Sus scrofa: one gene and its partner. Each later gene encodes a partner of the first gene's protein in a complex. Links are inferred from orthologs where the notes say so. Each region holds a gene or a part of one and is shown in the gene's direction. Other genes may lie near its edges. The genes, in order: TMEM231 and TMEM237.

Region 1 (4,290 bases):
GAAATACTTCATACTGTGAAACAGGAACTAATAGGGTTGTAGGTCACTTATACTTCCAAAAATAAACAAACTCATTAAAAAAAGAGATCAGATTTGTGGCTACCAGAATCAGGGTGGAGGGAAGAGGGGATTGGATGAAAAGAAGGTACAAACTTGCAGTTACAAGATAAGTACTAGGGATATAAGGTACAACATGATAAATATAATTAACACTGCACTGGGTTACATATGAAAGAAAGAGAATAAATCCTAAGAGATCTTATTATAAGGAAAAATATTTTCTATTTAATTTTCTATATGAGGTGAAGGGTTCACTAAACTTATTGTAATCATTTTATGATGTATGTAAGTCAAATCATTATGTTGTACACCTTAAACTTATATGGTGCTGTATGTCAGTTATATCCCAATGAAACTAGAAGACAAAAGCACTTCTAGGTTGGTTTTGAAATAGGAGCGTCTACTGCTGGACTCCATTCTGATAACAAACCTCACACTATCTCTTGGCACTGACATTTGATTCTTCGGGTCCTTTTGATAAAGAAGTTGGCTGTTGAACGTGTTAAAAAAAAATCCTGGGAGTTCCCATTGTGGTCCAGTGGAAACGAATCAGACTGGTATCCATGAGGATCCATTTGATCCCTGGCCTCCCTCAGTGGGTTAGGGATCTGGTGTTGCCATGACCTATGGTGTAAGTTGCAGACATGGCTTGGATCCTGCATTGCCATGCCTGTGGCATAAGCTGGCAGCTGTAGGTCCAATTTGACCCCTAACCTGGGAACCTCCATATGCCATGGGTATGGCCCTTAAAAAAAAAAAGATCCTTCTGCCTTGTTTGAAATACTAGGGAGAGCTTTTAATGAAGTGACACACCAAGGTTAACTTTGCAGAGGGCCAGAGCTTCCCCAAAACAGGTCGTCAAGCCTGTGCTCAACTATAACATAGTATAGTAGAGCTATATAGTAATTATCCTTATCCCTTGAAGAGCAGGGTGCTTTGTGACCTGTTTCGGTGTCTGTCTTGCTATGGACTAGTGAAAGCATTAGAAAATTTGGAGACAGGGGTTCCTGCCCTGGCTCAGTGGTAAGGGACCTGACTAGCATCCATGAGGATGTGGATTGGATCACTAGCCTCGCTCAGTGGGTTAAGGAACTGGCATTGCCATGGCCTGTGGTGTAGGTCACAGACGCAGCTCAGAACCTGTGTTGCTGGAACTGTGCTGTAGGCGGCAGTTGCAGCTCTTATTTGACCCCTAGCCCGGGAACTTCCATATGCCTGCGGATGCGGCCCTAAAAACAAACAAACAAATAAATAAATAAAAGTGAAAAGAAAGAAAGAAAAAAGGTACATTTGGATACAAAGGAGTGACCAGGTCCAGGACCACACTGTTTTCCTCCAATGTAAGGTGTGCCGTTACTGGACTCAGTGTACAGTGAACCACATTGGGGATTAACAGATGACACTTATGCAGGTATTTACTTTAATATTTATGAAAATCTAATTTGACACAAATGTTAACAAGGGCGATGCTAAGATTTGGGGGCACGGAACATTCCATTTCTGCTCAGCTTATAGGAAAGGGCGCCTAACGCTTAAAGCTAGGACTACGATCCACCAGTGGGTACCGCCCCCCGTTAGCCCCACCCCCACCAAAGCCAGCTTCCTTGCTATTGGTTCCTTTCCCCGCGCCTGCGGTTGCCGTGGAGACCAAGGCTATGGCAACCAGGAGAAGCCAAAGTTGGTCGAGTCTCTGGAACCGCGGAGGGGTCCGGGACGCGCAGCCCGACTCCGACCTGTGCTCATGGCGCTCCACGAACTCTTTTCTCACCCGGTGGAGCGCGGCTACCGCGCGGGGCTCTGCTCCAAGGCCGCGCTGTTCCTGCTGCTGGCCACCGCCCTCACGTACATCCCACCGCTGCTGGTGGCCTTCCGGAGCCACGGTGAGCCTGCCTGAAGGCCAGTGCGCGACAGGATTCTCCCCGGTGCTCCCGCCGGCCTCCCTAACCTCTTCCCCTCTGCCTCCTGCCCTCTTTACCTCAGGGTTTTGGCTGAAACGGAGTAGCTACGAGGAGCAGCCGACCGTACGCTTCCAGCACCAAGTGCTGCTCGTGGCCTTGCTGGGACCTGAGCACGCGCACGGCGGATTCCTGGCCTGGAGCACGTTCCCTGCCTTCAACCGACTGCAGGGGGATCACCTGCGCGTCCCGCTCGTTTCGGTGCGTGGTTCTGGGCGGGTGTATGGATGGAGATGGGGATAGGGGCATGCGTGGGAGGAAGCTGGGCGGTCCGGGTCCTTGTCCCTGGGGGCCCTGCTTGGGTCTGAAGGAGTTACGAATCCACAGAAGTTGTGTGTACAGGCTCATTGGCCTAAGCTTATATTTAATTTCCTGGGGAGTAAATATTTTGTAATATTCGAATTCTCCAAGCCGTCCACCACCCCCGAGAAAATTAGTCACTGCTGTCAGGGTGTGTGTCCCACACAGAGACTGATAGCCTGCGGACAGCCTGTCTCTGGCCCCCATTTCCGTGGGCGTGGCCTGATGGAAGCGTGGTCGCGAAAGTTGCTGAGTCGTGAAAGCCAGTTGACGTTCTCTCTCTCTTTTTTTTTTTTTTTTTTTTTTTGGTTTTTCTGTTTTTTTTTTTTTTTTAGGGCCGCACCCGCAGCATATGGAGGTTCCCAGGTTAGGGGTCTAATCAGAGCTGTAGCCGCCAGCCCAAGCCAGGGCCAGAGCAAAGAGGCATCTGAGACGCGTCTGCGACCTACACCACAGCTCATGGCAACGCCAGGTCCCGGATCCGTAACCCTGTGCGGGAGGTCAGGAATTGAACCTGCGTCCTCACGGATGCTAGTCAGACTTGTTAAGCGCTGAGCCATGACGCGAATGTCTAATGCTCTCTTTAATTACTCGTTCTTGCAGCTGGCTTGTGCTTCAGCAAGCAGTAGCAACAAAAAGGGCGGGTATTTTTAGGCAGACTGACATGTGGAAGCAGAGGCGCTGATTGGTTAAGTGACCTCCCCAGACTGTTGCTGGCCCAGTCCAGCCTCCCTGGGCTTGCCTCCTGAGATGCTGCTGCATCCTGCCGCCGTCTGGGGGTGAAAACGAAGTTTTTTACTGCCTGTAATCTAGTGTCTGATTCGAGGTAAGTGAATGCTTCCTTTATAGTCACCCACCCCTTTACGCTCATTTTCAGGAGACATTTTCCTTTGAAAGTAGGAAAATTCTGGATTTTCTTCTTTCAAAGTTGGATCTCTTTAGACACCTCTGAGATGATTGGCCTACAGCCAAATTGGTGTAGCTGAAAAAAAAAAAATAAGATTTTTCCCAGCAACTTAATAAAATGAAAAAAAAAGTAATCTGACTGTTCATATGAATAACCACAAGCAAAATAGGATTCAGATTTTTTATGAATATTTAACTTTCCTTACCTTTTTTATGATTATGAATTCTCCTTGTAAATTATTAAAGAGTTACAGGTATATATAATGACATAAAATTAAAGACCCAGTTTGGCACATATATCAGTATTTGTGTATAATTCATTTATTTCTCATCTCTCCCCTGCTAGACCTAATTCCATGTGGGTAGACTCAGTATGTCTAGAATTGCATGTCTCATTTTTTTTTTTGGACCACACCTGGGACATATGGAAGTTCCCAGGCTGGGGGTTGAATTGGAGCTTCAACTGCCAGCCTGTGGCACAGCAGAGCAGGATCCAAGCCACATCAGCCACATCTGTGACCTACCTCACAGCTCATGGCAACTCGGGATCTTTAACCCACTGAGTGAGGCCAGGAATCAAACCCACATCCTCATGGATACTATCAGGCTCATCACCACTGAGCCACAATAGGAACTTCCCATGTATCAATATTTGTTAATCAAACTTCTTTTTAAGGTCTGCAAAGTAATCGATACAGAAAGTGGTAATGGATTTAACCAGTTTCCTGTTGGTGGATATTTGATTTGCTTTTACTTTTAAACATCACATTGTGAGAAATTGGAATAGAAACTGTATGTTGAAATTGTAAAAGTACACAGAAAACTACGCAAGCAAATAAAAAACACAGTAAGGAGGAGTTCCCATCGTGGCTCAGTGGTTTACGAATCTGACTGGGAACCGTGAGGTTTCGGGTTCCATCCCTGGCCTTGCTTAGTGGGTTAAGGATCCGGCGTGGCCGTGAGCTGTGGTGTAGGTTGCAGACGCGGCTCGGATCCCACGTTGCTGTGGCTCTGGCATAGGTCGGCAGCTACAGCTCCCATTGGACCCCTAGCCTGGGAACCTCCATAT
Region 2 (4,123 bases), on another chromosome or scaffold:
CATTCCCTTGGTTAATGGGTAACTGTTATTACATACTCCATTTTTAAAGAAATGTCTTCTTTTTACAAATCTATTTTAAATCTCCTAAGTTACGATTTAAAAATAAACCATTACGTGATGGGGGAGCCTGATACCCCAGCATAGAGATGGAGTGGGCACCTGGGAGAGAGTTCTCAGAAAACCAAGGGTATAGAAGGAGAGCAGACCCAGGTGAGTCCGCCTCCTCAGGTTCATGGCCAACCATGAGGGGGCGGGCTGTCTTCCCTCACTGGGAAGAGGGGCACTCTTTTTTGAGAGAGTGGCTAGGGGGCATTAGGTAAAGAAAGATTGAACAGTAGCACTGTGATAGTTCTGCAACCTTTGAACCTTTGTTCTCCTGATACATATGATGCATCTAACAGGGAAATTCCATATTATTTTGTGCCTGTTTTTCCTCTAGGTAAGGAGTGCTAATTTTTTTTTAAGTTTATAAAATGGATATATTTGGATATATCGACCAAAATGAAGACATTTCTAATGAGTATTTCTGTCCTTTTAGGGCAGAAGGAATTGAGGAGCAGGTTCTCCAGCCATGGATTGTGGTGAATCTGGTGGTGGCCCTTCTGGTGGGATTATCTTGGCTGTTTTTGTCTTATAGACCTGGCATGGATCTTAGTGAAGGTATTCAAGAAAAAAAATAGAATATCATGAAATCGTCTGTAATGACTTTGTAAATCTCTTTTGTAATGAATGTAGCTTGTAATAGTCCAATCACTTAAAATAACACAAGAAGAGTAATAATAGAGTGGTGAAACAGAGTGCTGAGAGAAGCAGGGTGGAGTATGTAGGAGAGCTGGATTCCCAGAGTCTTATTCTTTTTTTTTTTTTTTTTTTTTTTTTGGCCTTTTCTAGGGCCGCATCCACGGCATATGGAGGTTCCCAGGCAAGGGATCCAATCGGAGATGGTAGCTGCTGGCCTATGCCACAGGCACAGCAACGCGGGATCCTTAACCCACTGAGCAAGGCCATGGATCAAACCCACAACCTCATGGTTCCTAGTCTGATTCGTTAACCACTGAGCCATGCCTGGAACTCTGGGTCCCAGAGTCTTAACAGGGGGCTTCTGTAGTCTGTCCACATATTTTGAATTTATTTCTTCTTTTGGAACCCTTCAGGTATTTTATACCAAATCTTAACTTCCCTTCCTCTCTCTCTCTCTCTCTTTTTTTTTTTTTTGTCTTTTGGCCTTTCCTAGGGCCGCTCCCACGGCATAGGGAGGTTCCTAGGCTAGGGGTCCAATCGGAGCTATGGCCGTGGGCCTACGCCAGAGCCACAGCAACGCGGGATCTGAGCCACGTCTGCGACCTACACCACATCCCATGGCAACACGGAATCTTTAACCCACAGAGCAAGGCCAGAGATCGAACCTGCAACCTCACGGTTCCTAGTTGGATTTGCCAGCCACTGAGCCACGACGGGAACTCCTCTTGGCCTCTTTTTGATCAAAGTATCTCAATTTGGCATAAGTCATCCATCATCTCTTAGCCTCTGTTAGACATGTATTCAAGTGAATTTGTTCTCACCTCCTCCTCCGCCTTCACAAATTCTTCACCAGTCATTGTCATTTAGTGCACCCAGGGTGAAGCGAGATTTACTAATCTCTGGTCCCCAGGCCCTTCTTGGAACACCTGAAGAGGAAGAATCACATTGCAAACTGCTAGTCCTTCAGCACTGTTTTAGGAACCGTGTAGTACTGGTATTGTAAGGTTGTATTTCCTGGGCAGATGGTCCACAGTTTTACCTTTGAATCGCTTTGATATTTTCTGGACTTCGGTTATTATTTTATTCTTAATTTGTTTAACATTCTGAGCATTTAACTGCAGTCTGATCAACTGATTACAGCCTTTGTTTCAGAAGTCTTGGAATTGAGAATCTTTCCAATATTTCCATTTGTAAAAACCAGAACAAAAAAATATAATCTTTTTGTATATATTCGTTCATGTACCTTTTCTTATGTTGTTTCACTCATTATTCCTTTTGACATACTAAAGTGTTTTTAAAAATCTTCTTAGGCTGGAGTTCCCATCGTGGCTCAGTGGTTAACGAATCCAACTAGGAACCATGAGGTTGTGGGTTCTATCCCTGGCCTTGCTCAGTGGTTTAAGGATCCAGCGTTGCCGTGAGCTGTGGTGTAGGTCGCAGATGTGGCTCAGATCCCACGTTGCTATGGCTCTGGCATAGACTGGAGGCTACAGCTCTAATTGGACCCCTTGCCTGGGAACCTCCATATGCTGCAGGTGCAGTTCTAAAAAAGATAAAAAGACCAAAAAAAAAATCTTCTTAGGCTTTAGGTATTTTGCTGTTTTCCTTTTATTCCATATTGTTTTTAGTCAAAGATTTTTTTCATCTAATGCTTACATCTGGGGACTTTATTAGATTCCCAAGATTTCCTTTTTTTTTAATATTTCTTGGTATTTTAATGTCGGTGTTAAGTAACAGTTTAAATGTAGAATTATATATCAATGCTAAGTAATAGTTTAAATGTAGAAATGTCAATTAGTAACATTCTGCGCTGTGGTTGGGATTGAAGCTGCCCCCACCTGGCTTGCGCAGTTATTCAGTCTAAATCGCAAAGCGTGTGTTACTTACTGAGTATTTCCAGAACGCAATTCTCTTTTAGGGCCACGTGAATCAAATAACATTTCTATGTGGATTAAAAAAAGCAAATATAAAATGAGGATGATAACACTCGCTTTTAGGGTTGTTATAGTGATGAAATGAGGTAACATGTTCACATATCCTGGCACTCGTGTTAGGTCCAGGTCCTCCTCTATGTCTGCGTCCTACATTTTAGGTTAAAATGATCTCTATTAGAATTAGACCTCTTAGCTGGTTAATGATCCCAGATTCTCTGAACGGCTTAAATTTCCTGGTAAGAGTTCTTACTTGAACATGAGGGCTTTCTATTATCATATAATATGTCAATGTTTTAAGAGACTGTTTATAACTAAGCTATAAAACTCTTTCTGAGGTACTGGCAAACCGTGTTGAGTCTGATTTGTTCATTTTCTCTCCCAGAGCTGATGTTCTCCTCTGATGTGGAAGAATATCCTGATGAAGAAAAAGGAATCAAAGCCTCTTCATAGTGCCAGCTCATCTTCAGAGGAATGACCCAGTATTTAGAATTTTTCCCATTCTTGTTTTAAATGTATTTTTGTAAGATATGTATGGATGTATTTGGAATCGATTTTTTGATTATATAATACAGAACACTTTCTCAGGATTATGGAAAATGTTACAATTGTGTCTGCAGCTTATACTCAAATATTAATGTCTGTAGCATTATCATCCTAATGACAAAGGAGGTAATGAGCTAGAAATCAGCAGGCGAGAATGTTTATTTCCTGTTTTCTCAAATTAGTTGCATTTATAATCATTATCTTTAAAAGCACTAGTACGGTGCTTTTTAAAAAGCCATAGCTTTAGTATTACAAAATATCTATCAGGTTTAAACAGAAATTTAGGGAATAAGGAAGGACAGGGGGAAGACCTTTATTATTTATTTTTGTTGTCTCCTTACTGAATAAATTGAAATATGAAATTTGTCTTTTTTGAAACTGGCTCAGTGGTTGTGTATCATGTAATTAGGATCATGTAATTTAGCTTGAAAGGTGTTTTACTTCATGGCTAAAAAGGAAATACAACTTTTGTTTGAAAAGTTTTATAACCGTTAATGTTCGTTTCCCTTTAAGACCTGTACCAGTGGGTTCCTATATCTGGTTGACCATCAGAATCATTTAGGGAGCCTTAAAAAGCATATACAGCAAAAGAGAAGCTGAGTGGCCCCCAAACGCAGGAGAATAAAGGAGAGGCCTATGCGCTTACTAAGCTAACACTCAGTTGGCCTGTGCAGACCCTTCCCCCTGCCTCTTTTTTTACAGGACAGAGAGGATGAGCAGAAACCCCCCATGCCTATTCCCAAGCTCTTTGTCAGAGATCTTTGTCTGTCACGGACACCTAACTCTTCAGGTGGGTCCTGCCCTGGAAGAGCTCTCTTCAGGGCTGTATCTCCTGGTACCTCACTGCTATGAGACCTGGAGCCCAAGACAATGATAGGACTCACCGAGGGAAAAGGTGTCTCAGA

Evidence for each region.
Region 2: TMEM231 (region 1) and TMEM237 share a complex: the UniProt entries of both Homo sapiens proteins name them as parts of the tectonic-like complex. The link is inferred for Sus scrofa from reciprocal best matches to the Homo sapiens genes TMEM231 and TMEM237.

Annotation. Positions count from the first base shown.
Region 1 is NC_010448.4:12,138,972-12,143,261, forward strand, and holds the start of TMEM231 (transmembrane protein 231), read left to right. Parts: upstream 1-1,345; 5' UTR 1,346-1,715; coding exon 1,716-2,216; intron 2,217-4,290. UniProt on the Homo sapiens protein: Transmembrane component of the tectonic-like complex, a complex localized at the transition zone of primary cilia and acting as a barrier that prevents diffusion of transmembrane proteins between the cilia and plasma membranes.
Region 2 is NC_010457.5:105,254,961-105,259,083, reverse strand, and holds the end of TMEM237 (transmembrane protein 237), read left to right. Parts: intron 1-538; coding exon 539-660; intron 661-3,057; coding exon 3,058-3,125; 3' UTR 3,126-3,584; downstream 3,585-4,123. UniProt on the Homo sapiens protein: Component of the transition zone in primary cilia. Required for ciliogenesis.